Linked DNA regions of Neurospora crassa OR74A. The protein of the gene in region 2 interacts with the protein of the main gene of each other region in a biochemical or structural test. Links are inferred from orthologs where the notes say so. Each region holds a gene or a part of one and is shown on either strand. Other genes may lie near its edges. The genes, in order: ckb-1, NCU01447 and ckb-2.

Region 1 (10,538 bases), on a different chromosome or scaffold from region 2:
CTTTTTAATATTCTAGGAAGCTTATAATAGTAAAAATATTTTGCTAATATCCGATAAAATATATTTATATTTCTACGTACTCCTTATATTTATACTAATAGTTTTAGTAATGTTATTAGGATATTCGTTATTTATTAGTATTATTATTATTAATACCTTCTAGCGGGTATTGGGGTAGTGTACTATATTGATAACGGTTTAAAAGATAATATAAATATTAAAATAGATAATTGCACGACGTAGAGCATTAAAATATCGACTTTTTGCACTAGTTTTGGCTAGATTTCGATGTTAAATAATTGAGTTGAGTCGTGTAAAGCGATGTCAAATGGCCAGATTTGTCAAATGCGGTGTGTGTGTGTGTGCACGCACACACACCTCTTGCTAAGACTGCACAGGCGATTGAGTGTGGGAACACCATGTCGCCCATATAGCGGGCAAGGGTTGTTTCTGCTAGTTCGGCGTGCTAGGTTTCTTTCCGGTGACAGGAAACCAACACGGCCGGGGGAGCCTGGATGGCAAAGGGGGATTGCAGTGCCATCGGCGCTTCTTGGCGGATAGAAGCTCCAATCGACGTCGACTTGCTCAGGTACCAGCCGAGCCAGCCATGCAAGCAGAGGGGACATTCTGCCGAACTCCGCAAATTCGTTGTGGTCTGTTTTCTTTCTTGTTTTTCTTTCTTCATTTTCGAACGGTATTGTGACGAAACTAGGTGCTGACTGTTAAGTGTACCCGATGAGAAAATTCAAAAAAAAACAACGGCATAGTTGATTGGTGGTTGATGTCAAAAGCCGTTGGATCAACGGGACGCCTCCCCGTCTTTGTCGACCTTTCCCTAACCGACCCTCTCGTTGGAGGCTCCACCAGCTCACACTACTGCAGTGTACAACTATGTACATTAGTTGGGGCAGGTACATCCTTCCAGAAGCAAACTCTGATACAGTGGAATCCCCTGAAACAGCATGTAACTCAGAGTAGGGAATTCTGGGCACCAAATAGCACGCACACATGTTAACTTATGCAATATCTGGCTCCTGGAGGATGCAGTTACAGGGGTCCTTACTGCACCATTCTTTCACTGACAAAAGTGGAAGAGGGAATCCATGTCAGGTCCATGACCAGATGTTATCGGCACATCACCGCCTTTCTCTGGTCTACCAGGTTACCTACCTACCTATCCGGTCCATTTTCCACGAGCACGTACTTCCCCCAGCTCTTCGTAGCAACGTGGAGATGATGGCCATCTCGTCAACCTTCAAGACGAGGGGTCTCCGGGGAAAGACACAAAAGAATGGAAATGGTGCCGAAAACAATCTAAATTCTTTCAATCGCCAAGATATTCTGGGAGGCTCTGAACCCCCGCGGTACGTACCCTATCACACACTGCATTTGGTGAGCAGCGAGGATGTCGATTGTCGACGACTTGTGGGGGACGGTGGAGCTACAAATACGGCATGCCATTGGTCAATATCAACTGGAATCCTTCCCGGTGGGCGTGAAGGGTGTGGTCCCGAAACACTACCATGTGCTTTTCTCGTGTCCAGAGTGATACACTACAGCGAGGTACCCATTTCTTTTCCAGACAAGTCGTCCAGTGATGGTTAGGTATATACCCTCAAGAGTAGTTATCGCTCTGGAAGCTCGGTGATCGGCCAACTCAAAAGAGTGAGGAGGGGTCATGACAAGTGCAACTTAAGTCGGCGAGTGACTCGAATGACCGCTCTTTTCTAGTCGTAGTTTCTCTGACCGTATCGTGTCTCCTCCACCCTCCCTTGTTGACCACAATGAATCATTATGATATTTACATATCACGTACCCAGCATGATTGTGTTGCCTAGTTGACTTGACCCCACTCATCAACGTGTCCATTCATGCCGCTTGCATGTGCAGCAAAGCCATCTCAACCAGACAACGCCATCTACAAATCGACCAAGATATAGTACATTCTGTGCATCACACATAGGTACAGGACGGCAAGTGCATACCTGCTTCAACGTTTTAGTTGTATCACCTTACATGTAGGGATCTGGTGGCGTGTCTTGTACCACGGTATTTCACTTCGTTATTTGAATACCTATGTCTAGTTCACCGTCGATATGATACGCTACGTCCCACACGCACCGCATATCGCCAACCATCCGATTAAGGTTTTCCCCACGGTCTTGTCCAGCCCGTTAGTTTCTCTTTATTTTCAGCAATTCTTTTTTCTTCTTTTTATATGTCATACCCAACCGCGAACCGGAGACAGGACCAACGAGGTTTGGAGTCTCCTGTGGGGACACCATCCTTCGCATCCCCAAAGGTAACCTTCTCCGCCTCAGCTTTCTCATGGGTTACATGCCGTCATCCGCGGTTCTGCCTTAATATGTATCCCCATGTTGTGTTAATGTTTGTTCTTCCTGGATTACAAATCCAACATCGGTTTCCTTGCCTCATCGTTGTATTTGGTTGCTCACTCCTTTCTCTGTGGTTCTGTTCGTCTTCCTACAAACACCGGTATCGTATCGAATACCTTGAAGATCCATGTTCTGCCGAATGGCGGTTGTGGTCAAGGACGATAAGATTTATCGTCAAGAAATGAAGATACCGAGCGTTCGCCGTTGATCGCCGCGATTATCAGCTACATACCTACCTATGTGATTGACATCGATCATGGAAGTCAGTCAGCCAGCCATTTCTTCATCCTCCCCATGGCCGGAGCGCTCATATCACGAAGAGTTATAACTTCTCCCCAGCTCTTAAAAAAAAAAAAAAAAAAAATTAAAAAAAAAAATATATATATATAAAAAAAAATACATCTCTTGCACTGTACCGTTGGTACGTCGCAACAAAAGAGGAGCATGCAATTTCGCGACACTTGCCGTTCGGGAGGGAGCACCCCAGACTCTTGTGACAACCAGTATGTAAACTGTTAGTGACGGAAGCTTATCATTGCTCGTCATCATCTCGGCCCCCTCTCCCCCGGGCACGGGGTGGCGGAGGGAAACAAGTGGGGTTTCCGCCGACCGACCGACTGACCGACCGACCGACCGACCGGAGAAGTGGAGTGGACGGAACCGCAACGTTCCCCGTCCCGGGACTACCTACAACGGGGCATCGACAGTGCAAAACACTTGAAATGCGGAGTTGGAGTCACACCGTAGCCTATTTGCGCATTTCTCACTCGTATACAGTAGCAGTAACATTAGATGTCCCAAAGTCTAATATCACAATCTTTTTTTTCACGTCGTTACGGAGAGGCAGGAGCCGGGCCCGAAGATTCGGGCAAGGTACATAGCAACTTGAGTATCTGTCACTCCTCGAATAAATTGGCATATCCATCTCTGTCTTCAACAACAATCACAATCTGTTTACTTTGTCTTCTTCTGTCAATACTAATATAGCTTGTATATTCGTCGTCGGTCGTTCTTTGCATCAGGCTGATGAGATTGGTAACATACGCTTGTGAGATGTGAACCCATTTTCCTGATTGGTAGGTATTTTGTAAATTCACATCCCAAAATTCGGTAGCCGCAGTATAGGAAGAAGACAGGCTAAGATCTGCGTGAGTCAGCATGACAGTATGGCATCGAGAGAATAGTCAACAAGACTGTTGAAGAAAGACAAGAATTGTAGGTCGGGGGGGGGGGGGGGGGGGGGGGAGTTGGAAGAGAAAAAGAAAATGAAAAAAAGGAAGAAACAAAAAAGGTCATAGATAAAAGGATGGAGTAATCCGATGGTCATGTTACTGACAGAGTCTTCCCGTATGACCGGCTTATGACGGACCCATATTTGCCAGCAACAAAAATACCTATCTTGGAATGTAGCTACCATGGTCAGAAGGGGTTCCTCCGCGTAGGGGGTGGTAGTGAAGTGGAAAAACCAAGATGATTTAATTTAAAACTGCGTTGCGAACTGACGGGTAAACCACAAGAGGAACGAACAATATTGCGTCCTCCTCTCATCGTCTATAACCGGCATGCAATCATCATTGGAATGCGAATTTACGTCCGAGTTCGCTGTGTAAGAGAAAATCAACCTTGATATAGAAAAAGGAAAAGAAAAAAGAAGAACCCCAACCCAACCAAAAAGCGCTCTTGCAAGCTACTGTAACCGATTCCTGAACCCGTCCGTCCATTCCCCCGCCATGACGTAGAGAATCAGAAAGAAAGCCCAAAGGATATTTGTGCGTGTGATACAAATCAATGCCAGGTTTAGAGGAAGATGTAAAAAAGAAGTGATCAACAGTCCGTTGTCCAGATGCTTGCGCACACAATTCCTTACTCCTTACCTACAAAACCTGATCCTCCCCTTTCAATATCCATTTAAACCCAAGTTCCAGCCTACAACTTCGACCTCAAAGCTCCGACTCAGCCCCATTCTGTTCGATCGCCATCGGACTCCCGTTCTGCTTTTGCCTCCTAGGAGGCCCCCGCCGCCTCGAAGCTGTCCTGCTGCTCACACCCATGCTCTCGTCCTCGTCATCCGACCCTTGTTGTTCCGCATAGCGACGAGCCTCGTCCAGCACGCTCAAGTCGTCAGGCTTGCTGCGCAACCACTGCATGCGTGGCCCGGAACGCGCGATTTCTGACACCTTGAACCCGTAGATCTTGGGCTGGTAAATCTTGCCCCTGCCCAGCCCCGGCGCTATGTTGCGCGCGTACATGCCGTTAATGACGGTGGTGTCGTCAGAGCCGGATCGTGTGAGATTGCTAACGCTCTCAGCGCCGGTCTTGGTCAAGTCGTATTCGGGGAAGGTCATGAGGAAGAGCGCGCCAAAGGTGCGGCCGAAGAAGGCGCCGTCCACCGTCTGGAAGCGGCTGTTTGGCGGTACGTAGACGTCCAAGCAAGACGGGCAGAACAGCTTAACCGTGTCTTCGCCGGGCGTGTCCGAGAGGCCGACGGGCAGCGTGCGGGTCTGGTTGCAGTTTGTGCGTGGGCAGATGCCGAAGTGACCGAGCTCGTATTTTTCCGACATTTGCTGGATACCCGCCCGCGAGCAGATGAAGCGCTGATGGATCAGACCGTACAGCATCTCGGCCGAGGACTCGATCACAGAAAGATCGCTCGCGATGCGGCTGTGATGTCTCCTTTCGCCGTGGGGCTTGTTGATGCCGTCGCCACCGGACATGTCTTCCTCGTCCTCCTCGTCCTCCTCCTCCTCGTCATCATCGTCCTCGGGCTCGACATCAAGGATCATCTAGTCAGGTTAAAACCACAATGATTAGCTGCTGACGTAACGGACAAAAAGGTTCCAGAACAAGCATACCTCGAGAGCCTCCTTGTACATGGCGACCTGGGTCTGCAGGCCAGTAAGGTTGAAGTCATCTTCGATGAATTCTTCTGACACTTCGGCAAAATACTCGTGTCCCAGGAGGGAGCAGAAAGATGCGATCCATGACTCTGGAACGCCCGACGAGCTCGACATGGTGGAATTGGATATGGAAGCGACGCGAAACGATTCGAGTGTTTGGCGACGGAGTAGGCGTTCGATGAGGCTGTTGGTACCGCTATCGGACGTTATCTGATGAGTGCGATCGAAAGGCGCAAGACGACGACTGGGTATAGCTAGTGTCCCTTGGGGTCGACGCTCATCTGCGATGCTGGATGGAAGGGTTCAATTGTTTATTGCGTAGACATGACCGAGCGCATGAGATGGCGCAAATAGATGGACGAAAGGACAGACAGAATAGCTAGGCGCTTCAATGATTGTCTACGTGGTGTTGCAGCGAAGGAGGTGGTTGGTGGTTCCCTTCCTGTGCTGTTTTTGGAGTTTGCGCTAACGGAGGCCGTCGACTCGATGGCTCAGTCTGTTTGCCTTTTGGGGTTGCTCGAGAAGAAGCCCGCGCCCTCATTTCGTGCTACAGCCCACTCGTGGGTGTCTGGTCTGTGCGGCGCGCCCCGTCTTTTCAGTCTGGGCCCTTCCCAATCCTCCTCGTTCAACCCTTCCCGCAGGGAGCAGCCCCGCGCCCAGCCCCACGGTAGTATGATGCCTGATTTTTGCGCCTTCTCACATAACCCTGCTGAGCCCTGCCACATGCGCGTGCGGCAGCGCGTCGGAACCCAACCGTCTACTTTATCAGGTGGAACCAAGATAAGTAAAGGGTCCATTTGGTGATGGTTGATGAACGCAAAAGGTAGCTGGCTAGACCCAAACTGGTCCCTGGCTAGTCCCCCCCACATACTTTCGCTGAGTAAGCCCAGCCAGCCGCCCAGCCGCCCAGCCAGTACACACATACAATAGAGGCCACGTAACCGATGCCCGCGCATTACTAGATCTACGTCTTTTACGTTATTCTTTTTTATATAAGGGTATTCAAAAATCGTTAATCTAGTTAATTATCCTAATAATCTACTACTAAGGCGGTTAATACTATAGTTGCTAGTAATACTACTGTCCTCTTTGCTAGTTCTAATACTATACTTATTGCCTAGAGTTAGAGTGTACGTGCCTACCCTAATTTTAATACCCGTTGTATAAATACTATCCAAAGTACTACCTAGAGTATTGGAGAACCCCTATATTATATCCCTATAAATATACTAGAAATATTAGAGGTAGTGCTATAGGGGCTGGAATTCGCTTATACTATATTGCTAGTATAACCTATCCCTCCCCTTATTATTAGTTAGAAGGTGGCGGACTATCCTAGTATTAAGGCAGCTATTTAATAGAAGCTAATAATTTATAATTGAATTAATTAGGGCCGGTAGGAGTTAGTATATAGTTATAAGATGGCTATTACTAAATTAGCGGCTATTATTAAACTTAGGGATAAGGAGATAGAGAGGGTGTTAGAGTTCTCTATAAGGGAGTTGGGGGGTAAAAAAGCGAAGGTAAGGGAGCTAGCGGTATTTTTAATATTAATATTTGCTATAATATAATACTTTCTATAAAGTTCTAAATAAATACTTCTAAATCTACCCGCGTAAGGCCCTCTCCTATTAACTCCTACGTTACCGCTCGTTAAATACCTCCTCCTCCTTTACTTTTACTATAGTAGCGAAATATAAATATTAGCGCCCTCCCCCTTCTCTAAGTATTTTACTATATTACCCGGTAGGGCGGTTTATTATAAGAGAATATATAGTAGTTATTATACTGGTTACGGTTGATAAATATGGGGTTAATGGGTTAGGCGGACAATCCTTAATTACCTTTAAAATTATATAGTTTATAAACCTCCGGATTTATAAAGTTATATTCCGATACTCTACGTATATAATCTATAAGGTTTAGATCGGGGATAATTATTTATTATTGGCGATTAAGTAATATAGTAGGGTTTTAGATTGCATAGGCGTATTATTTAACCTCTATTAATTTAGTACGCCTATTTAATTTCAATTACTAGTATATATTTATATTCCTTATTATTAATAATATTAGGGGATCTATCTATAATAATCTTCATATAAAATATTTGTAGGGTAAGCCGTACTAAATTGTAAATACTTTTTTATAATTGGTATTTAGGTTTTAAATTAGGTTTTTAAACTAATTGTTATATATGTAGTAGTATTAGTACTATAGAAGTTTGAGGGTATACGGCGCTACCTATAAATAAAAAAAAGGAGGTTAATTATATAAACCTTTATATATAAGGGTAATAATAAAAGGAGTGTAATTAATGTACTTTTAATATTAAATTGTTAAATATCCCTACTCTTTTATATTTATAGAAATAAGACTACTTCGCTTTTACAAATCTCAATTTGAATCTCTCTCGTTAAAAGCGGTACGAAGTTTGTATATATTTATATAATTAATTTAAAAAGGAGAATTGATTTTTAAGTAAGTACTTAATAATTTTATATGAAAATTCGATTCTACTATTTACCCGGATACTATAATTTCTAAGCTTCAATACTATGTAGTTACTATACTTATTAATCTATAGTAAGTAATATTTATAGAAGTAAGCTAGTAGAATTATAATAAAAGGTCGTTAATTGAATAAATAAAGACGGTGGGTGAAAAAAGAATATAGTTTATAGTAGAAATAATAGGGGTAATATAATATATTAATTTATAAGTCTGTTTTTTAAATTCATAGTATAGTAAATACTATATCCGTTTAAAGTAATCCTTATTATTAATATATACTACTTACTTCTACCTAATTTAAAATCCCTTGTATATATTTTAATAAAACCGACAAATAGGGTTAAAAGCTAGTATATTACAATATTGTAGAGCGACGGCTTTAATTAGCGGTTTATTAACTACTTTACAAACCCCTTATTTATTATTATATTATTAAGTAAAGCGGTTAGTAGTAGTAGTATTGTTAGCCTCTTCCGGGTCTTCTTTATTAGGGTTATTGTCGGTGTGTTTATTAATATTGATATTATTACTATTATTATTAATTAGAGTAATATAAAATGGGGGATTGGGGCTACGGCTATCTAAATCCCGGGTAGTTAGCGGGGGATTTAATATATTAACGGCCGGGATTAGTTTAGTACTACTTAATTGAATTTACTTTTTTTTAATATAGTAGTTTATGTTCTTTATAATATATTATACGTAGAGTTAGTAAAGTACGTTTAGGTATATTATAATAGCGGCCTTTTTAAATCCTCGGTCGAAGTCGGTAATAAGTACTACGGGATTAAGAATTTTATAATCCTTTTAAAATTTCTTTAAATAATTAAGCTACTACTAGAAGTCTTTTTATCTTTCTCCGTTCGAGAGATTAAAGGTAATATTAAAGTTATAATTTAATATATCGATGTTAGTAACGTTAAGGAGGGGAAGGTTGAAGCGGTTTACCTATATAGAGATATAGTTAATTAATTGTACTATAGTATATTATAGTGGGAAATTGACTTTTTTTTATAAAATCGACTTTTTTTTATAAAATCGGTTTTTTTTAAAGAAATCGATTTTATAAAAAAAAGTCGGTTTCCTATATAATAGTATATAGATTACTTACTTTATACGTATTATCTACTAGTAATATATAGGGATTTTACTTCTATATTTAAATATATTAGTTGAATGTTTAAAAGACCCGCGATACCCTTTGCTAGTTAGGAAAGAGGGGGTTATAATTAATAAAGTATTTAATGTTATAGAGGTTCTTATATTACTTTAGAAGGTTAATAAATATTTTTATTGAAGTATAAGGATTATATTTTATATAACGAATACCCTTTTGGATATTTAAAACCTCCTAGGTAGTAATAGGGACCCGGAGACTGCATAACTCAATTACTAGACTATTACGATCTATAATTTAAATAGCGGCGAAATCTTCTTCTTTAATATTGAGGGTGCCGTTCAAATAATAAGTAATTTAATGAGAGTTTATTCTAGTAATACTAAATAGCTTTTCGATAGCGGTATTAATAGTATCTTTATAATAGCGGCGTACCTATTATTAATATATAATATTATTAGTAAAGTTAGTGATATTAATATAGTAGTTATAGCGGTTATTAATCTCTTCGGCGAATTACTAACTACCTTACTTCTTCCTCAATATAATTTTTACTTAATATAAGTAATTGAATTTCTTTAATATAGTATTATAAACGCTTTGCTTAATTGCTTTATAAACGCGCCTATATATATAATAGTAGTTAATACAAATAATTATACCCTTATCCCCCCTCTTTTTACTCTTCGTATTACTTCGGAATATTACTATAAAGCCTTACTATACATAGTAATTTTATAATGCGTTAAAGGTAGTAATTATATTATTATAATTAGAGGAGGTAAATAGTAGTTTCGCTAGCGGATTAGTATATTTATTAAGGGATAACAGTAATTATATTTTTAATTTTAATTTGTAGCGGCGGATTAATAACGATTGGATTTCGGTAAGGGGGGTTGTGCTTCGGTTAGGAGTAATTAGCCGAAACGGACTAGGGGTTATTTTAGTGGGCAAATCTATTAAATTGCAGTTAAATATAATTATTTTTATCGGTTGGGAAGAAGTTTAACCTATTGGGCGAATACACGACGTACGGTGGGCGGGCGGCGGTATATTAACAAATACTATAAAGTTAAAGATATTCGATTATATAATAATAAAGATAACGAATAATCGCTTAGAATAATTGTGCAACGATAGAGTAAGGTCTCATAATAGCTTCATTCAATTGTGTATACGGCTAACGGTCGTTAATAGATTGCGCGACGCCGGTGAGGGTTGGGCAGCGATGTGCACGGTGTGCTGGCTGGGCGGCTGGGCGGCTGGGCGGCTGGCTGGGCTTACTTAGCGAAAGTATATGGGGGGGACTAGCCAGGGACCAGTTTGGGTCTAGCCAGCTACCTTTATCGGTTGATGAAAGGTACCTAGGTACGTATCTTCCTCCCTCACGTGGTCTGATTTGCGTATCGTCAAGGACTCAGGGTACCAACCTTGGGTGGCCATTGCTGCTTTTGTTCTTTTTTTTGTCATGATTCCCTTCTTTGTATTTTTTTTATTTCATATGTTTCATGGAGGAAAGTCACCTCCCAGTTCCAGGCCAACACGGCTACTTGCATTGACGAGGCAACTCCGCCAACCGCTCTTCACTTTCACCCATCATGCCAGGAGTCTCAA
Region 2 (10,538 bases):
TAATCAAGTCCAGACATTTAAGTGCGAGCGTTCTGGGAGATACAAGCTTAGGCAAGGCAGTTTCCCATACCGGAAGCTTTAGTAGAGAGGCCTTGATTGTCCCCAGTGTTGTTTGGCCGTTCCTCGACACATTCTGCTTCCTCTCTTTCGCCAACTGGACTATATCTCTTGGCTCGCCAAGGAGTCGCTCAATAAGAGCGGCGAAGCCCTGAGCCTTCAGCTGTTGGAGTAGCAGGGTTGAAGCCGAAGTGGCCAGCATGTTCGCAACAACTGCTGCGATTGCAAAGCCAGAAATGAGGTCCGCCTCTTTATCTAGCGACTTGAACATATCATCGGCGCCGCCATGATTGCGAAGCTGTGACCGAAACGACTTTTCATTCGTTTTCTGAGCAAGCTCGAACAAAGCGCCTCTTCGTAATGAGGAAGGCTTTTCCGATGGCGGACCTACTCTATCGAGAATATCCTCAATCTCGTCCGCGAAACGGCTGTTAGCACCGGCTTGTCGCAGTTCGTGGATACTCCGAACGGCTCCTGTATTGACTGTCTCGTCTTCCTCGTCCATAAACGAGAAGGCGTCCAGAGCAGCACTTTTGGTCAGGCGACCAATGTTAAAGAGTGCACCCCCCGACAAGCTATCATCCAACCCCATCCCGCCCAATCCACCGCCGTCAAACAGCGGGTCGTTTTCGGCCAACATTGACCTTTGTTGCGTATACGTGAACTTGGGCCCGGATTTCTTGGTTGCAAGTATTGGGCGAGCAAGTCGCTTTGACGGTGTCATGGTTGAGGGATTCGGGGAGCTTGGATCCTGGAACTTGGGGGATTGTTTGCCTTGAGGGCTTTCTAGCAGTGGAGGATTGCCATCTTCATCGGAGGAACTGTCTTCTTCCTTTTGGGCTACCAAAGCATCGATCAAGCGTTTCCGCCGTGGTGGCGCGGCAGTGACAGAGGTTTCTGTTTGTGGCTGGGGAGAGGGATTCCTTTGCACGGGCAAAGGCAGCGGTTTCGGTTTGGTTGACGAAAGTCGGAGCGGGATTTGATGCTTCGTTGCGGCATGCGTTGGAATCGACCGGGAAGAGAAAGCATCCGTCATCTTGACATCTTTAACAGGTGTATTGATGGCCTTTTGCTGCAACTTCGCCTTCGGTAGTGTTTTTGCAACCTGTTCGTTCGAAGCATCGACAGGTGTTTCTGTGCCATATGGCGATGAATTGGGAGTCGAGTATGGTCCTGCCAGTACGTCTGTCTGTTCCGAATATGTCCGAGTGATCTTCCTCTTCTTTGCCCTCGCGTCATCCTCGCCGGTTTCGATGCTCCCTGGCAGTGGCTGGCTATGCGACTCGTCGTGTAGCCTTGGATGGCTGGTCCGGCCATATTTCTGTTGAGTTGATAACCTACCTCTGTTGCTAGAGCTAGTGGTACGAGATACGGCAGGTCCCGGCGAGCTTGGTGGCGATGGAGATGTGCGGGTAGCAGTCACAGGGGCTTTCGTTATGATGTCTTCCTCGCTCTGATTTGTCTTGACGGAAATAGAGGATGCGCTCCTATTTATGGAGATCGAGGAAGTCGAAGCTTCCACTCGCCTTCTCGTAGCTTTGCCGTATGTGGTCACGCGCTTCTTGGGCGGAAAGTCGTAATCACTGAGGCTGGCCATTGTGCTGACTGTGGCCGAGCAAGAGAACGGAGCGCTGGTTGATGGATAGCTTTGACAGCGATGGATATGTATGTCAATCGGGTATACGGGCGCCGGAATCGTATCAGAGCAACATGCGGGAAACTATCGCAAGTTCGGCGGCTGAAGGTCGAGTAGTCGGTCAATGGCAGTTCCGGTTAAGTAAACGTGTTGTTGGCGGCGTAGTCACCAAAGCGCGGGTGGAAGTCCGATGCGCGCAGCTCGTCTAAGGCATACCGCGATTGTGACGGCGAAGGGGAGCTGGAGGCATGAGCTTATAAGTTCGGAACGAGATGGTTGCTATTGTCGTGGTTAGTGTTGGCTGAAGCGATTCCGCGGTGTTTGCTGCGGTGTGGTTGAGGCGATTGAGTTGCGCTTCCCGTCCTTCCGTCCCGCGTAGGTTCAGTCCAATGTTTTGGAAATGGAAGAAGTCGAAGTGGAAACGGGTGTCATTGTTGCGAAGAACCCCACAATATCTTGCTTCCGTCTGTCACGGTGCCTGCCCTGTGGCCCTGTGTCATCAGTGCGTGGTTCACTGCAGTGCGGTGCGCGTGCAAGGGCGGCGGCAGGGGCAAAGGCAGGACAAGGTTCTTAGCACAGTGACCCTGCAGATGGTGGTCTGTGCTTGCCGTTCCCCTCGAGACACCCGCTCCTCTTTTTCTGCATTTCCGAAAAGAGCCTTTTGATGTTATCGTCCCGTCTCATTGTTTACACATACAAACCTTTATCTCTAGATTCGACTGGTAGAATTGTAAAGCGCGGATATCGGCACCGCATTGTTGACGACGAAAACACGTGGGGGTTGCCAAGTCTCTCAACTTCTTGCAGTAGGTGAACTTTTCATCCCATCAATGCTTCCTACCTTGATGGCTCCCACTGGACGGCCTTCGGTGTCTGCCGCCCGCCGCCCGTTGGAGCTCTCGCGGGCTCACGGCGGGCACGGCGGGGTTCCAGGTCGCAGGATCCAGCTGGACTCCAAGAGCGTTTCCACGGTTTCCACTTCCACTTGGACGACTCAGGTCGGACAACCCTGAGAAGCGGGCAGGGATCGGTCCAGAACTGAAGCCTTTCGCAAATGCAGTACTTTTTTCTGATCTGACAATCGCTCAAGGTCCCAAAGTTCCCCTTTCTTGTCCTAGTTCCCGCATCCCGCCACGATCCTCTTCCGGTAAACGGAGAAGCCCAGTCAAATAGTAAGTACACACGCGACCAACTAGGCAAGGCGCCAATTCCTGTCCCCGTTGACACTCTGCGACGCCGAGTTCCACCGTTTATCAGCTCTGCAAGTGGGAGGGGTTTGGTGGGACCGTTGTTGATACATGGTTGGGCGCAGATCTAGTAGAGTCTACTGATCTTCCTCGAATCTGGGGGTGGCAGTTTGCGCCGCCTCGTCTTCCCATTTGGTCGCGCTCAATCCCAATCACGAACCCTCATATTCAATCTGTTTGTCATATGTCTGCTCCTGGCTTACAGATAGGCTGTTACCTTTGCCCCAGGATCCTCTTTTAAGAAGCATCTGATCCGCCCCCCCTCCTCCACGAACACTTGCGCGAGACACTATCTTTCTTTACATTGACCACACATCACCTACACGAAACGATTCGCAGAGTATCCGTTCTCACGACTTCGGCACTTAGTCCATCCTCCTATACCTACCTCACCCAACCAAGTCAACATGTCTACCGCCTCCGAGATCGCGCCCACCAAGTGCGTGGGCCCCGATTACCGCGCCGAGGAGCAGAAGCCCACCGCCACCGTCTCGACCGCCGTCAACTTCGACAACGTCACCGTTCTCTCTCAAACTCCCCAGCTCATCGCTCTCCTCAGGTGCGTTTGCTTGCCTCGAGTTGCCTTCCAGACTGCTGTCCGCCAGACGCTGACCTCGGTGGTTACAATACAGCATTATCCGTGACAAGCGGACCGACCGCGGCGACTTCATCTTCTACTCCAACAGAATCATCCGTCTCCTCGTCGAGGAGGGCCTCAACCACCTCCCCACCGTCGAGCACCCCGTTACCACCCCCGTCGGCCGCATATACGATGGTTTGGCGTTTCAGGGCAAGATCTGCGGTGTCTCCATCATGCGCGCCGGAGAGGCCATGGAGCAGGGTCTGAGAGACTGCTGCCGCTCCGTTAGAATCGGCAAGATCCTTATTCAGAGAGACGAGGAGACTGCGCAGCCCAAGCTCTTCTACGATAAGCTTCCCGAGGACATTGCCGACCGCTGGGTCCTTCTCCTCGATCCAATGTTCGCCACTGGTAAGTCTAGGATCTGGGGGAGAACCAAGTGCGCCTTGTGGCTGGGGTTTCCACGGCTAACATGTGCTTTCTGTGCAGGCGGATCTGCCATTATGGCCGTCGAGGTGTTGAAGTCCAGGGGAGTTCCAGAAGAGCGGATTATCTTCCTCAACATTTTGGCTAGTCCCGAGGGCATCAGCAACTTTGCTTCCAAGTTCCCCAAGCTCCGGACGGTAACTGCTTTTGTCGACCAAGGCCTCGATGACAAGAAGTGTGTTTTCCGTTCCGTTCCGCCTCATGTTGGTCGCTGAGAAGATGATGAGATTTGAGACTGACTCTAATTGCTATAGTTACATTATCCCTGGTCTCGGTGACTTCGGCGATCGCTATTACTCCATGTAAAGTGTGAAGGGGCGTAGGTAGATCGTTGATTGTGATGACTTCCTGGCGGTGGGGATCGACTTTGGGAAATGGCGTTATCTGAGAGGACTTTTTGATGCCAAGCGTAGTAATGGAATACCCACTCTGGAAAAATTCAACAAAACGAGTTCGTGCGGCTTCGTTCGTCGAAATAAAACTGGCATCGAGATTCGGCTCGGCTTCGCCTATCGTGTTGATGATGATAATGACCCTTAATAAACCTTTCGCTCAGTCAACCATGACCCCATGAGATATTGGACAGAAAAGAAAAAGAAACAGCCAGCCGGCTACGCGGACGTAACGCAACGTCGAATCGCCGATGTCTTTTAGTCGTAGTCATCGTCATCAACCTCAACACCGGATCCGCCATAGCCTCTATCGTCATCCTCATCATCTTCGTCGATATCGGCAGCTCTCCGGCTTGACGCCGCTGGCCGCCCACCCGTCGACCGGCTGTTCGAGTAAGATGCTGCTTTTGCGCTTGCCTCGGCTTCTTGGGCAACAGCGTCTGTTTGGTCCAAGTCAATGACAAGCTCTAACATGGCAAGGGCAAGGCCATATGCTTGCTTACCTGCAGCGTCTACCCAAGCACTATAGACATCTACCGCAGCATCGAGGTCTACATCGTAGTTGTGAAGTCAGCACTCCTCTGCTTCTCTTGTTTCTGTGTGTATATCCAAGGGTTGGCTGAGCTAGTCTTACAGTTTACAGGGCATTGGAACTTTTGGCCGCAGATTTTGCAGTCGAGGTAGCCAACGCCGGCCTTCTTGTCGAGCTTGACGATGACGGATCGTTCGTGGTTGCAGAACAGGCATGTGAAGACAGTGGGAAGGGGGTCGTTCTAGTTAAGAGGGGGGTGAACAGGTTAGCGCTTTGGTGATATCAAGGGCAAGGTGAAGAAAGCGTATAATATGACTGGATGGGTGGAAGGGTACAATGTAGATGGGGTTCCAGTAGTAGTGAGTGTTGTGTATGATATGGGAAGATGGTGCTCGGGGGTGCAGAATGTCTAAAAAAGCTTATCGGGCAATGACGTCTTTGGTGGTATCCAGAGGCGCGCGCAACGGACAAAACTACGCGATCATCTCTTGGGTTTGGTGAATGGAAAAAGTAGAGGTCGAGATATGCACATACCCTCCTGGGGCCCTGCGGCTTTCTTGACGACTTTTTGCGCTTGCCCATTGTGAAGTTGCCGTGATGGTTGTTGTTGTTTGGATGTTGTAGGTGGTGGGTTTGTTCAAGTTTGTTGAAATGGCACCGGGGCGTGTCAAGTTCGGTTGCGGTCACTAAGTACTGCAGGTGCGCGGCCGGCAGCGCTGAAGATAACCTATCGATGATTCGCGTCGCAATGGAAAAACCCTTGGTGCTTCTGGCGCACGCGCTGCAGATCGGATTGCTGGAAAAATGCCGGTGAATGGAAAAGGGGAAGAGCACGTCGGTCGTTGAGAGAATGGAGGCGTGTGCTACTTTACTCAGCACGTGCCTGATGGGTGACTCCTTGCAGGCAAAAGTTGGTGGTTACCTATTGAGGTGTTGATATTTTTGCGACTACACTAGTTCTAGGTAGTTTCTGCACCTTCATGGAGGCGTCGCTGACAGCAACCGCCAAAAAGTTTGGCTCCATCCCCGTCCAGTCCCCCGGTAGGGTAAGGTCACTCAGTGTTGCCTGCCCCACCACGACTCTCACCGTTCTCACCAAGGTGAGTCCCTCGGACGCCGCGCGCGTGATGGCTGTGGGCTCTATGGTTTTACAAACCCAAAGCTTGATAAGATTATTCACGTAGCCTGGTGCAATGGCTCGTGCACATGATGACAGGACAGGGCTGACTTTCAGGTTTCACACTTCCACTTGCAACTCAAGGCGGGGGCCTTGGCGTGGGGCCCGCCAATTTGATCCCCACCTTGCCCCACAAAATACCTCCCCCAGCTTTGGGAGGATCGACTACATATCGAGCGGGGACTGGTGATTGGACAAATCTGGCATTTGACATCCAAGCACCCGCCATCCAGAGTTCGGACCTGTCGAGATACTGTAATCAAGGCGTCCTGTTCGATAAGACGACCACCCCGCTTATCATCGTTGCTGATGGCCTTGGCCCGAGATAGGTTCCCTTGTGAGCAGCAGGGCAGCGTTATCGAATTCGTGAACACCGGTACCTTGCTTGATTTCTCGCGCAACTTGCAAGCGGTAGTATCCGATGGTGATGACAGCTCTCCCCGGTACCGGCACCAACCATTTCGATGTTGGGAGTTCTTTACTGAGCGGTAACCATACATACTACTTGCATCGCGGTGTCAACAATCACTTACAATCCATACACCCCCATGTTGTTTCTGTTGTGATGAACACAGGGCCTGCACTTTCCCTACACTATGCGGGACCTCTCCAGTGTCGTTCCTTTTCTGCTTACACAATGACTACCTCTACTAACAAGGGACCACCTAAACTGCATAGTACATACGGTACATACCGCTTCCACTTGGAACTGGCGGGAAGGGAACTGGGGGACAGGGCGCGCTCGTCTCCGAGATCCGCAGCCACGGCACTCGATCCGATTGCGGTACCCCGCCGCCGGCGTCCGTTGTGGGGAGCATGGTTGACCCAAAAAGTGGCAGCCCAGCATGCTACTCCAGTCTACCTACAGGGATCGAGGATGCGCTACGGGCATGCCACACACACCCTGTTATCGATCAGCTGGCTATCTTGCTTGGTAACGTTGGTCAGTAACACGCTCCGCGTCCGGTGATTGCCCGAGACGCAACTTGTACCGACTCTTGTTACGTGTTGCAAACCATCGAGTGGTCGATGGCCAAAGACATCCTCTTATCACGAGGGGGCCTTCGGTGGCTTCGGGCAACTTAGGTACGGTATGCCCCTGGCGACGGCGAGTGCATGTACACTACGAGCTGGAAGAGGAGAGGTTGGATGGCCAAGTGGAAGCATTAGTCCTATGTCCACTTCCTCCGGGAACGTCGATAACTACCATGTTATAACTGGCCCTCGTGTCGCCCGACTGACTGACTGTCTCTCTCAAGGTTGCTCCAGATTCCCATCGTCTTCAGTATCTTCGTCTGTTTGTTCCTGACGTTGCCTCCATCCCGTCCCTTTGTCTCCCGTCTGTTAAACCACTACTAGAATCTATCTCTTTTATCATCATCTTTGCCTACTAGATACTGCCCTTCCTCCCCCATTTGCCCCAACAGTCAGACCTGGTTACAATGGCTACAGGTCTGGAAGGTGTGCAGGATGCCTTGCTGGCCATCGCCCAAGGCCAAACGAAGCTCATCTCGGCGGTTGAATCCATCTCTCAACGTGTGAGCAGCTTGGAGAAGACTCGCGAAACCTCGTCGAAACCCAACGGCGAAGCTCCAAACCCAGTCACCACCCCGCTCGTTTCCGGCTATGTCCAGACGCCACCGCTCTTGCAGGCGGATGCCGGCACCATGTCACCATCATCTCCGCCCGCCGATGTCACAAAGTCCAACTTCTCAAACCGCGTCGTGCTCACGACCTATCCCAAGCAGATCGGCATCAACCCTCTACCGATGGAATGGGGTGCGGCCGATCCCGTGAAGCGTGGCCCGGTAGCTGTCATCCGATCTGGCTCGACCATCCGCAGACGTAACGCCATTGGTGCCCACGGTGGTTCATACTCGATTTACTACGCGCTGGCTCTGGCGAGTAAGGAGCTGGATCCAGACCACAAGCCTGACTTCACCAACACCGAGCCCGCCGTCAACATTGGCCCTTTCCCTCAATGGGGAGATCCCAAGAAGATTGTAGCCATGGATCCTTGGGGCCATCAGGTTCCTTGGATCTTCAAGGATCTCATGGATAAGGAGGGTGGTACGTACTTTCACATGTTGTTGTTATTGTTGTTGTTGTCTATAATCCCTATTTGCATATGATGGAAACTGACACTGGCTATCGACAGTTGATCTCCGGCCGACAATTGCGATCACGAAAGCCCATATGAAGCTGCCTGAGCTTGAAGAGAGTGTTAAGAGCGGCAGATTGGTTCCAGATGGCAAGATCTGCTTGAACAGCCTCGGTGAACTTGCAGTAACCAAGTTTGCCGTCGAGCCTGTTTGGTACCTCCCCGGAGTTGCCGAACGGTTCGGTATTGATGAGGGCACATTGCGCAGATCCCTCTTCGAGCATACGGGTGGCATGTATCCCGAGGTAATTGGCGCCGCTGGATTATAGCACTTTTACGGACAGACGATGCTGATACAATAGCCAGTTAATTACGCGCTCCGATATCAAGGTCTTCCTGCCCCCTATCGGTAAGAATCATCAGCTGTGTATCCCGTCATGGTGTGGTGTTACAGATTCCTAACCGTCTCTTCCTAGGTGGTTTGACCGTGTACTGCTTCGGCGATCCCGCGAAGATGTCAGACCCTTCGAAGAAACTTGCGTTGAGGATACACGACGAGGTAGGCTCTCGTTCTCATGGAATGTCTTGTCTCTCGAACACATCTTTCACTGCTGACACAGCCACCTTCTATGTAGTGTAACGGTAGTGATGTTTTCTGTTCCGATATCTGCACTTGCAGACCTTACCTCATCTTCGGTATTGAGGAGGCCGTCAAGGAGGCTCAGAATGGCGGTAGCGGCGTGGTAATCTATTTCCGTAAGGAAGGTCGTGCCCTGGGCGAAGTCACAAAGGTTTGTGTTCCAAAACTCTGCTCATGAAGACTAAATGCTAATCCAGCGTCACAGTATCGTATGTTGAGTTCCTAGTTGATCCTTACCTCGTCCCATACAGGGGATTTCGTTTCGTGGGTGAGAGACTAACCGGGAACCTTTTACAGTTGTGTACAACGCGAGAAAGCGCGGGGCAGATCTTGCATCGGACTATTTCAAGCGCACCGAAAACATTGCCGGTGTAAAGGATATGCGATTCCAAGCCCTGATGCCTGATATTCTTCATTGGCTGGGTATTACCAAGATTGACCGAATGCTTAGCATGAGCAAGTGAGTAACACCACACCCCTCTCCTCCCCTACTGCGCGCGCTCTCCTTGCCTTGTGGGAGGTATCACCGATCCTCGATCTAATGCATGGTCACTTTCTAGCATGAAACACGACGCCATCGTCGGCCAAGGGTGAGTTAGCATTTTCTGTTCAACTATGTGGTGTGCCGTTGTGCTCGGGTCTTGCTGCATAACCTGCACCTGTGGTGAGCCGGCGATCTTTTGCTTGATGGATGCTAACCTTCCGCACAGTATCCCTATTCTAGAGCGTGTTGAGCTCCCCGAAAGCTGGATTCCAGCCGATTCGAGAGTAGAGATCGATGCCAAGATCAACGCCGGTATGTTTGTCCCACTTACTCTTCCAATGTTTCTGTGGAGAAAGGCAGATTAACCGACGAGGATTCGTTGTTATGTAGGATACTTCACGACAGGTCACAGAATGACGGAAGAAGAACTCAAAGCGGTGCAAGGTCGGATATGGGAAGAGTAAGTTATCCCTCTTCAAAAGTCGCTCATTATCGAATCGAAGAAACTCGAGGCTAACGTAACCACAGCATCGACCACTAGAAGTAACAACCCCACGGAGGATACGACGCACAAAGGAGTTTGGTCATGGATTGTAGAGAGATTATTCGGGCAGCAGCTGCATCTTGGGAGAACCCATCGCAGGCCCGTCATTGCCTCTTTGATTACCATATATAACTCATCACACTTTCTTGGTAGGAATGGTTGTTCAATTCGATCCTGCATTTACCACACCATATCCGCCACACCCACAATCTGTCAGGTCTGAACGTGAAACGGGCGGGTGAAATGTGGAGTGAAAAGGGAGCAAAAGAGATCACGCAAACAGCTCTTCGGCCGGTATATGGTTCTAGTCATGCATATATAGTACAATGACCATATAATGAGCATCTACTCACTAGTACTTGCTATTCCAGCGTGACATTCACATCAACTCGCGCATCAAGTGAGGAGCCTTGAGTTACCGGGCTGTATGGTTCTCAAAGATGCTGAATGGATTACTTGTCTTCATGACTTAACAACGATCTTTGTTACCCGAAGGACGAAGCAGCAATCCTGTGGATGGGATAGGAAGGTAAGGTAACCAATGTCGGCCCGCCTGTAATGGAAGATGCCAGTCAATGGCCGGGGACGGAGGATACAGAGAGCTTGTATATCCCGAATCCTTTACCTTGGGCGAACGGCTGTCGTTGTGAGCAATAAAACCT
Region 3 (10,538 bases), on a different chromosome or scaffold from region 2:
CGGATGGCAAGGCTGTTTTCTGCCGCAGTGCCGGAACATATGCAACCATTATTTCCAAAGAGGAGGAGACCCGTGAGGATGGTACAAAGGTTATGACGGGCAAGTTCGTCAACGTAAGACTGCAGAGCGGAGAAATCAGAAGGGTCAGCAAGGACGCTTGCGCCACCGTTGGTATTGCCAGCAACATTATGCATCACTACAGACAACTGGGCAAGGCCGGTAGAAGCCGTTGGCTCAACATTAGGCCTACTGTGAGAGGTTTGGCGATGAACGCAAGTGAGTAGACTCCCAGAACAATCCGTTTGTCAAGCGAGCAAAACCAACTAACGGCCTGGTAGATGACCATCCTCACGGTGGTGGTCGTGGTAAGTCGAAGGGTAATAGGCACCCTGTTTCTCCTTGGGGTACACCTGTAAGTCATGCCCCTTTATTTCCTTCCTTCCTCTGAACAGACGCCTTACCCTCTTTTTCTGTAGGCCAAAGGTGGTTACAAGACTCGCAGAAAGTCCAACGTCAACAAGTGGGTGGTTACCCCCCGGGTCCGCAACATGGGAGTCCGGAGGAACAAGAAGACTACATGAATAAAATAACCCACTGTGCTCAACTTGGGCTATATACCCACCATCTTGTACAATATGTAGTGAAACTTATTCATTTGCTCGCAGGCCGGCAGTTCGAGGGCTCAGTATATCACCGGAAGGATGCCATGTGTGGGTATTGGGCCCAATAACATCGTCTGTTGGAGATCTGCCGTGTTTGTCTTTGTTTTCCACTTTCAACTGAGCAACTCTACGGCGATGTGGTTCAGGGCCCGGCCAAGGCCGTGACTGTGCCTATAAATCGGCATACGACTTCAGGAATGTACCAAAGACTACACATGGGGTTTGTTAGACTCCGTTGTCATATACCGACCCCAACTTAACAAATTTTTTATTGATTTATTTACTTATAAAATTTGTTTAATTTTCCTAAAAAAATTAAAAAATTTTTTTTTCCCTTTTTTTTTTTTTTTTTTTTTTTTTTTTTTTTTTTTTTTTTTTTTTTTTTGCGTTGATTATAGACAACAGACTACAATGAAAGAAACTGAAGGCGTTTGGTCATTGGAGTCGGTCGAGTTGTCCAATCACATTTTGCGTTCATCTCTTCTGCAAGGAGCAGAATAACAATGCCGTCCCCCTTCGCCCTTTCAGATCTGCTACCGGTTCTGTGAACGCCATCCTGAAAAAAAAAAAAAAATAGGGGCGTAAATAGCCGCGTGGGTAGACCTGAGCGCAGCGAGATTTATATGCATTCCAGCGGTGGTATCTTTACAGTGGTTGACTGTGTAAGGGCATATCACGACAGCGTCTCGGTATGCGCCCGCAATTCGGCCATACATACAACGCCATGAAGGAACGAGGGTCGACAAAAGGCAAGCATAGTCTCATCTCCATAGAGGTATACCACAAGATCAACGGGGGTGATGAGTACACTATTTGAAGCGTCTCTTCGGTGGTTTGGGCAGAGTTTAAGGTTTACGCCATTCTTTTAGTGTACATACTATTTCACAACGTTTCGCTCGTTCAGGGCAGTCCCCTTTGTACTTCTGGAGATTGAATGGGATCGATGGAATCGGTAGTTGTACATTAACTAGTAAGGAAAACTGAGTGCGCCACCATGTCTGGTACCTCACGACCCCGACAGGTCGGCACAATAAATATATACCTAGGTACCTAGGGTACATCGTACTTCTCTGCGGTGCTTCTCACCCTACACTAAATGAGTTAAGATGCACTAACATGGAAAAGCTGGGGAGTAGGTAGGTACCTATGGTTGCCCCCATACATACCTCATCCATGTCGGGTAGCGTTAGAGGTACGCGGGACTGGGGTTCCACTTGGCTAGGGGCCACTGCCTAAACCACCCCCCTGAATGATCTAGATTTCCAGGTTGTTACAAGATCGTTGGTTTCGGTTGTAACCTCAACCGGCATGCCACCGAGGAAGCTGCCATTCTCTTGTTTCCCATCCGCTCTTGACCGAATAACTCGTTCACCCTCGATAATCTCGTTTTCACATTGGTTTTCTTCTCTTCGCTTCATTTAAACTTGGTTATAACTGTTCTCATTCTTTCTGAGCCGCCGTTACGGGACTCACTGCATCGCCGCTGGGAGTACTTATTGTCGACCTGTCAACTGACTTCAAGCAGATGGGAGGAGTGCGGACTGCGGGGACCAAGCAAAAATGTATGTAGTGTACCTAGTGCAGAAACAGGCATGGGGAATCTATGTTAGCGTTACACGTGCGGTCTTAGAAAGAGGCTTAGACGTCTTGGGTAGGAAATCGTGGACGCTGATCGCTGGGTGAAACTCATTTTCTGTCAGACCGACAGGTTCGATACAAGAATGAACTGTTCAACCTCTGCCGTGCTCTGCACACTCATTACATGCACGCGCCAGGTCTCCGGCTTCACGTACATACTGCGTACTCCCGTCACGACATCTTTGTGCTAGTCCGGCTAGGTTGTAGGCTAGGTACTAGTACTTAGTTTCCCCAAAATATCATCTCGGTTCCCAACCACTGCAGCCCATAGGTTTGTATTAGCCTGGTCACACCTCTTGTCGCTTCACCCTTACATTCAGCTGCGGCTTGCGCCTATTGAAACATCCTCCTATTACCTACCCACGCTACTCTTTCCGGCTGGCAAACGCGACCAGGCGGACTGCTAAACGGACTGGACGCAATCTGACCCAAACTTGCGCTTCCGATCTCTCATCTTGCCGTCCCTTTTTTGCTCGAGGTTCTCTCTCCCATCCGACCACCCCTCGGATTCTCCTTAGGTCCTCATGCCCGACGATTCAGAAGACCTCCTCATCCCTCCAGCACATGCTCGCTCGATTTCACCATCGCATACCGGCTATACACCACCAACTTCGACGACGCTGATGATGGACAATCTCAGGCACACCCGAGCTGGTGGGCTAAAGAGGAAGAGAGGAGGATGGGTGGTGGTAGTCTCGTATGTCTTTGACTGGGTCATTATTGCTGTTGCCGGAGTCATTGGCTATATTTTTGGGGCTAAAACCCCAAACAAGAGACCTTTCTCACTTTACGATCCCAATATCTCGTATGTGAAATCAAACAGTTTTTCCTGACAGTTTCTGCTTGATCCATTCAATGGATGTGATGCTAAGAGGTACAAACTCTCCAGATTCCCCTTTACAGTAAAGGAAACTGTGCCCGTCTGGCTGGCAACATGCATCAGCGTGATCGCCCCCATCTTCTTCATTGCCGTCATCTCGCTGATATTCGTCCCTGGCGCTACCGTACCTCGGGGCACGCCGAAGGCCTTGATTTGGAAGCGAAAGCTATGGGAACTGCATATCGGCTGGCTGGGGTTGGCTCTGTCGATAGCGTCAGCCTGGCTGATCACGAATGGCATGAAGAACCTTTACGGAAAGCCGCGACCGGATCTTCTTTCGAGATGCCAGCCCGATCTCGCCAATGTCGCCAAGTATATCGTTGGAGGTTATGCTAATACCAGCATGAATGGGCACCTGGTCAGCGCAAATATCTGCATGAATCCAGACAAGGCCAAGCTGGATGATGGGTTCAGGAGTTACCCCAGCGGTCACTCCAGCTCCGCAGCAGCTGGTGAGGACCGACCAGTTCCTACCTAAAGCAGACACTGCTTGGTAGTTGAGAACATGATTTACTGATTAACTGACATTCCACCAGGTCTCATCTATCTCTCACTTTTCATCGCCAGCAAGTTCGCCATCACAATTCCCTTCCTCGCCTCCGGCACGAATGTCGATGCCGCCTCTTTCTCCGCCTTTCCCTCGCGGACTCGCCACAACACCGCCATGTCCGCGATGGGTGGGCCCGAATCGTACGAGATGGCCCCGCGGGGCCCCGCAAGCTCGGGGGGCGGACGGACCTACACGGGCGGCAGCATCGGCGCGGCCGAGGAGAAGCGTCTTGCGCGACACACGCGCGCCGTGGCCGCCGTACGCCTTCAGGCTGCCGCGCCGCCGCTCTACCTGCTGCTGATCTGTATCATCCCGTGGTTCGCGTCCATCTTTATCGCCAGTTCGCGCTGGTTCGACTTCCGCCACCACGGCTTCGACATCCTGTTCGGCTACCTCATCGGCTTGATCTGTGCCTTCTTCTCGTTCCGCTACTACCATCTGCCCATTTCGCAAGGTGCTGGGTGGGCTTGGGGTCCGCGCAGTCGCGACAAGGCGTTCTGGGCAGGTGTCGGCAGTTACAGCTACTCAACTGATCACAACGTCGGCGAGTATTATCGCGCGGGAGACGAGGAGGAGGCGCTGAGTCCGGATTCTTTAGATCACGGCAGCAGCTATGGGCACCCCGTGGTACGGGCCAATGGCACCGGTTTGGAAAGCAATGTGGGACCGGACCAGCCCGGTGGGATCATCACGGGGAGGAAACCACCGTCGCTTGACGTTGATCAATGAGAACAGGTTGACACAGCTTACAGAGACGGGTAAATGACGATCAGATATGAAAGGCAAATTTCGACGCATTGTCGGATCAGAAGAGTCAAGGTGCATTTTCCGGAAGTAGGGACTTGGCCCGGATGGGTGGGCTTGATGACAAAAGCGATTATTTCTCTAAACGAGGAAATATGAGGAACAACAAATGGTTTTATGTCACCAACATGGGTTTTGGTACAGTCTCTCTTATGTTCAGGAGGCGTTTTGAGATAGGGAAATGAGGAACCTATCCATATGTACACATATCTACCTGGTAACTCTTCAAGGGAAGTTTGAGCACACTGGTCTTCGGCATTAATCAACGTGTTTATGCTGTGGTAACAGTTCATGTATTTGAAAGGTTCGTGTTGCCGCATGACACCGCTTGTGAATCTTTCCTCAGTAGACGCTTGGATATATGGTCTGGTCGTTTTGAATTTTCACGCTCCAAGAGACTGCCTTTCAAGCGTTAAGTTCAACTTCCCGTCGATTTGACGATTGGTTTTTAGGAGGCTTGAAACAGAGAAGGGTGCAGTTCAGCACAGACGAAGAGAAGCAAAGCCGGCAAGGTGAGAAGAAATCGTCTGGTAAGAACCGAAAAGACGTATAGCTAGACCAAAGAACATAAACACTCTATCAATGGCTCTCTCTCCCTTATTCGCATCGATCCCGACGTCCGCTGTGTAGAGGCTTATGGGGTGCGGGAATAGAAACAAAAAAACAAAGAGAAGAGAGGCACCTGTACTCATACTTTGTTACTCGATACTGTATGGTATATGCATTCCACCACCTCAAAAGTCAAAAGATCCCGTACCTCGCCTGTTCCATCCACTCATCGAACTCCACTTCAGCCTGCTCTTCATAGTCCTCCCCTAGCCTGAGACTCCGTCGCAGCCTTGCAGCAGCAGACATGAGAGGTGTCAACCAATGGTTCGGCTCGTTTGGCTCGTTTGGTAGCTCAGCTTCATCGTCAGCTTCGTCGGCGGCTCCAATCGTGGCTTCTGAATTCCAATACTCTTCATCCGCTTCTCCACCAGTAGCAGCAGGCCCTTTCTAATGAACGCCTTCACCGCCGGCAGCAACGCCTCCCGTTGCTGTACCTGCCGCCGCCGCCGCATGTTGCTGTTGGGCACCTTCAGCCTCATCCATAGCAGCCAGCTCCTCCTCTTCCTCCTCTTCCTCCTCCTCCTCCTCGTCATCATCGTCAAGCTCAGCCTCGTCCTCGGCGTCCTTGAACCCGCTCTCGACCTCGAGCTTCCTCAGCCGCCTACGCATCTCGTCCCGCTGGCTGTTCTGCCAGCGCACCAGAGCGGCAGCGGCGTGCACCTTGAAGCCGTAGCAGCGCGGAATGTAGCGCTCGACGCTCTTGGCGGGCACCAGGGTCGGGTATACCTGAAAGAAGATGTTGTGGAACGAGGTGCCGAAGTAGGCGCCGTCAATGGCGGCGTGGCGCGACGACTTGGGGTTGTAAATATCCTCGCAACGCGCGCAGTACAGCTTCACCGGCTTGGAGTTGGGCACGTCCGAGAGACCCATGGGCAGCAGAGGGTGCGAGGAACACATGACGCGCGGGCACTTGCCAAAGTCGGCTTTTTTGTACTTTTCGAACTGTTGGTGGGAAGTGCGTTAGTCACGGATGAAGACGAGGAGACGCTGGATGAAGATGGAATGCTGAGAGTTGATTACTGACCATTTTTTGAAGACCCCGCGTTGTGACAATGTATCGAGCATGGACAAGACCGTACAGGTGCCTAGCAGACTTCTCTATTGTTTCCCGCATGTCGTCATCGCAGTCGAGGTCGAAGACATCGGTGATGAGATCGAGAGCATATTGGTAGTACTGGACCTCAGTGTTGAGACCAGTTAGATTGAACCTATCAGTGATGTAGTCCTCGTCAATTTCGCAAAAGTACTCATTGCCTCGCGAGGAAATAAACTGCAGGCGGACGCGCAAATGTCAGCATGATTGGGGAACCTTTACTGTAGTAAACAATAACAACAATTGCAAGAGAAGCATACCCAGTCGCGCCAATAGCTGGCATAGTCGCTCTCAGACTCGCTCACAAAGTCATCCATGGCCGGCGACACCACGTCTATACTCGGCGCATAAAAGGAAGGGAGGAAGGTGGTGGTGGGAGGAAAGTGGGCGCGAACGACCGTCGGCTGGCGCTTCGCATCAACGAGGCCAAAATCCCGGGTGCCGGGGTCAAGTACGGCGTTTGAACCTTTTGTTGGGCCGAACTAATGCGCGCCGGGCCGTAGATGGGGAGTGGGAGGTCCGAGTCGGATGAGATTGAGCTGGCACAAGGCACAATGACGACAAGACGTTGGAGAGGATTGTGATGCTTTTTTGCGACGGTTTGATGGGAGTTCAGGTGGAAGAGGGTTCAAAGCCGTCCCTGGTGCAGGGCAACGGCAGGGCAGGCGAGGGGGTCTGGACTCTAGACCGGGAGCCAAACAGGCTGACAGTCCATGACAAGGGACTTTTTTTTTTGGTGGGGGGTTCATCGCCGTTGCAGTGGTCCCCGCAGGGCAGGTTGCAGTGCCCCCCCGCCCCTGGCTCATCGCAGTCTGTTTATCAGCAGTCCCGACCTACCCAGGGCACTACACAGAGGTAGGTTATCAGGTCTGCAAAATCGACCATCTGACTACCTAAGTACCTACCTAGGTAGGTAGGTAGGTAGCGGGCGGGTACCTTTCGTCGGCCTTCAGTCAGCCCAACGGCCCAGCGTATGACTTTAATTGTACGTTCACAGGTACTGGGGATGGAAGCATGTACTCTGTCATTAAGGTAGGTATTCTATTGGGCGTCATGACGTTCAGTGCTACAGTTTGTGCCTTATTTTTGAGCAGGTATATTGTTGGAGACGGAAAACCCAAAAAAAATATATATAAATAAATAAAAATGGGGGATAAGAACGCCAGTCGCCTGTGATTATAGCTGTTCTAGATTATCTTGAAACATCCCGGCTTCTATAACATCTGTGTTGCCCTACAGCATGTGTCTAGAGCTCAAGACCCCCGCTTCATCATAAAGTGACGTTCTGGTAGGATCGTGAGCGCCACGGCTATGGATATCCAACAATCCTACAACCAACTATCCGCTTTCCAATTTCCATCCACTTCATTAACCTTCGTACCGATTAGCACTGACAACGCTGCCGGCGTCGCTGATTGTGCGCCTGTCAGCATCCCAGTCACTACCTATGATCCCCTTGGTATTGGAAATCAATGAGCTGGTAGTGCTGGAAGCACCGTTAGCACCACCACCCTGAGGAACTCCAAGCATTGTGCCCAGCCCGCTGCCTACGCTGCCATGGCCATCCTCCAGCTCACTTTCCTGCTTCACTCGCATCTTGGCCAGCTCCATTGCTTCACGCAGCGTGTCCCCCGTTTCATCGAGCGCTGCTAAAAACCGCGCCAGCTCTTTGCATAGCTCCCAGTCGCCCTCGCGCATTGCTCTGCTTAAGAGACGCACACTCTGCTCGCTTGCTGTTGCGAGTTCGTCAAAGGTATGGAGGATGAGTAAGTAGCCGCCAGCAGTCTTGAGGCTCCCACGCTGCAAGCTCTCCTCAAACAGCTCCTGAGGTGGAGGGAGATAGGCGAACAGAGTACGCCAGGAACGCACTTCCGTCTTGCGGGTACACTGCACCACAATGTCCAAGTACTGCTTGAACGATGAGAGAAGTGACAGCACGCGTGGGAGGATGGCATGTTCTGGAGCAGGCGGAGGATGGGCATCCACCTCTTCGTCCAGGACATGGTGCAGAAGTATTTCCAGTCCATGCGCAAAGTACTCAAGGTGCTCATATTGCTGAGCTAACCGCAACGCCTCAATCGGTCTGTTATTACTAAGGTAGAACCGCAGTATATCGGGTAGAAAGAGGTGCGTCTGGGATTGTTAGCAGGAAATTCTTGTAACTGCCACGCATTCTGATCGAGGGGCTTACCCGTATCGAGAAACGGAAGAAGGAGAAGCTGACATCGCGGCGCTGGATAAGATCGGACTCCACGCCAAGTACTATGGCTTTGCTGAGAAGAGCGGATAGGGGATAAAAGTCGATAGGGATTGATGTCATGGGTGGAAGCTCTCTCGTGGCTTCTCCAGAGGTGGCCCTCAAAACTGGCTCGACATCCGTCCAGGTCTTGATTTCACTACCATCAAAGATCCATAGCGAATTACGTAAACTGTCGTCAGCCGCAGCCGTAAAGACCTGCTTTTCGGAAGGTGTCAGGACGCCGCCCACAAATGGCTGGTCCCTCATGCTAACGTAGAATTCGAGGTTGTTCGCAATAACGCGCATATCGTATTTGAGACCGCCTTCATTGTATGAGGGCCGAAGGAGGACCAGCTTGCCATCAACCAAGAACAAGACAGAAGCATGAGCCACGTCTTGGGATGGGTCTCCGTCTAAGAGCTGGCTCTCGGGCAAAATCCAGCTTAAACCTCGAACTCGTGCGGGTGATCGAATGATGCCATGGAAAGCTATGTGACCAACTTCCACCAGCCTAACGGTGCCACCAAATGGTGCAAATATGAAATGGTAAAGGAGGTTGTCGTAAGTATAAACGAGCAGCGAGTCTTCGCCAGAGGGAGTAACTAGGACAACGGGTGCCGACATCTCTTGGGTATGTAGCACGTTCGAGCTATCGAGGGATGCCTCCCGCGAGTAGAGACGGAGTTCGAAGCTTCTATTAGCCTCCACGGCAGCAACCAGGATGTTCTGGTACCAACACATGCCACCCTTTACCATAAATTGGTTCTCCGCGTCCCCATCCGCAAACGTCTTCCAGCGACTGCTGTTCACGCTATAGTGAGCCAAGCCTCTCCTGCCCGCAACTGCAACATATCGACCATCGCTGGAGATGGCAGTACACCTGATTGGCCAATGGTTCATAAGATAGCTGGCTGGTATTCTAGCTGTGTGCCACAGCCCAGGTTCGGCCGAGATCGAAGTAAGATCGGGAAGGTCATATCCCCTATAGACCATGACGCTGGAAGTGCTCTGAAGCACGGTCCTGAAGAGATTTGCAGAGTTGTAGCATCCGGTCACTGCGCTTCGTGCCATCTCTAGCAGCCATATCGATTCATGGGCTCGCCCGACAAGCAACAGTTCACAGCCACCTCCGATCCAGGCTGCATCCAGGACACCGGATATCCACTCTTCCCCGGTTGTGCTAGCAATGGTTTGATCGGCCCCAAAGCTGTTACTCAGTGGCTTGCCGTATACACTCCATGTTGCCCATCCCTTTTCGTAGCCAGCAAAAAGACAATAGCCATCGGGAGAGTAGCTAAGTGTTGTAAGTCTGCCACAAGTGTTATTTGAAGCTGGGAGGTTGTGGACGTGAGAAGCTGGAATGTTTCCAGAGTAATCTTTTGCAGAAAACACGCGAATGTTGCCATCTGCGCAGCCCACAGCAATGAGAGAGAAGACCGCGTTGACGATGCAACGTATGGCTTGTTCACCAGGTGTCTGCGGCGTATAAAAGCAATAGCCCTTGAAAAGCTTCTTTGGGTCGGGCGGCTGGTTGGTATCGGGTTCTAGTTGGCTGCCAGAGATGCGCTGGACAGCGTACGCTTTGCCGTCACTGGTCACCCATGTGGACAGGTTCATGCGCCTGTCGTGAGTCATCTCGCGAACCATGACCTTCTTGTCAACCCAGCCCATGCGGCTCAATAGCTCTGTGCTGGTCTGACTTCCGGAGCTGTCTGGGGTCCATCGGATGCATTGAACTGCCGCAGGTTTCCGCGTAGCCACCACCAACTCGTCGTCCAAAGCCAGAGCACTCTCAATGCCGGCGTCCACTTTGATAACCATGCGGAAACGAACGCTGACATCCCTAACTCCCGATCCCTCACCGGGGCCCCATAGTATTTGGTCGGGGGCTATGGCTCCCGGGCCGCCTGCGTGGGTTTGCCGCCGTTTCTGGACGTTGGTATGACTGGAAAAATGGGGTTTGTAGACTCGGGAGTCGGCATCGGTAGCCAGAGAGTAGGTGATCAGATAGCCCAGGCTTGTGCGCACGACAAATATGGCGGCGTCCGGACGCAGCATCAAGC

Evidence for each region.
Region 1: the proteins of NCU01447 (region 2) and ckb-1 form a complex in vitro, tested with the Saccharomyces cerevisiae proteins (2 studies listed by BioGRID). The link is inferred for Neurospora crassa OR74A from reciprocal best matches to the Saccharomyces cerevisiae genes ELF1 and CKB1.
Region 3: the proteins of NCU01447 (region 2) and ckb-2 form a complex in vitro, tested with the Saccharomyces cerevisiae proteins (2 studies listed by BioGRID). The link is inferred for Neurospora crassa OR74A from reciprocal best matches to the Saccharomyces cerevisiae genes ELF1 and CKB2.

The regions. Positions count from the first base shown.
Region 1 is NC_026506.1:1,756,012-1,766,549, reverse strand, and holds ckb-1 (casein kinase II regulatory subunit), read right to left. Parts: upstream 5,841-10,538; 5' UTR 5,408-5,840; coding exon 5,249-5,407; intron 5,180-5,248; coding exon 4,337-5,179; 3' UTR 3,795-4,336; downstream 1-3,794. UniProt on the Saccharomyces cerevisiae protein: Regulatory subunit of casein kinase II/CK2.
Region 2 is NC_026505.1:4,705,412-4,715,949, reverse strand, and holds NCU01447 (hypothetical protein), read right to left. Parts: upstream 5,923-10,538; 5' UTR 5,513-5,922; coding exon 5,465-5,512; intron 5,172-5,464; coding exon 5,033-5,171; intron 4,950-5,032; coding exon 4,902-4,949; intron 4,839-4,901; coding exon 4,657-4,838; 3' UTR 4,313-4,656; coding exon of another isoform or gene 4,261-4,312; 3' UTR 4,182-4,260; coding exon of another isoform or gene 4,010-4,181; 3' UTR 3,932-4,009; coding exon of another isoform or gene 3,573-3,931; 3' UTR 3,500-3,572; coding exon of another isoform or gene 3,348-3,499; 3' UTR 3,056-3,347; downstream 1-3,055. Other genes in the region: NCU01445 (hypothetical protein), read right to left, coding at 1-1,654; NCU01446 (uracil phosphoribosyltransferase, variant 1), read left to right, coding at 3,348-3,499, 3,573-3,931, 4,010-4,181, 4,261-4,312; NCU01448 (hypothetical protein), read right to left, coding at 6,161-6,588, 6,641-6,664, 6,802-6,925; rib-3 (GTP cyclohydrolase II, variant), read left to right, coding at 7,550-8,177, 8,266-8,513, 8,575-8,617, 8,685-8,767, 8,844-8,999, 9,054-9,057, 9,146-9,308, 9,409-9,438 and 3 more. UniProt on the Saccharomyces cerevisiae protein: Transcription elongation factor implicated in the maintenance of proper chromatin structure in actively transcribed regions.
Region 3 is NC_026501.1:3,446,329-3,456,866, reverse strand, and holds ckb-2 (casein kinase II subunit beta-2), read right to left. Parts: upstream 6,928-10,538; 5' UTR 6,554-6,927; coding exon 6,497-6,553; intron 6,414-6,496; coding exon 6,168-6,413; intron 6,086-6,167; coding exon 5,531-6,085; 3' UTR 4,790-5,530; downstream 1-4,789. Other genes in the region: NCU02757 (mitochondrial 54S ribosomal protein RML2), read left to right, coding at 1-276, 339-412, 477-581; NCU02755 (PAP2 domain-containing protein), read left to right, coding at 2,825-3,105, 3,190-3,632, 3,717-4,459; NCU11228 (DUF1339 domain-containing protein), read right to left, coding at 7,605-8,369, 8,428-10,538. UniProt on the Saccharomyces cerevisiae protein: Regulatory subunit of casein kinase II/CK2.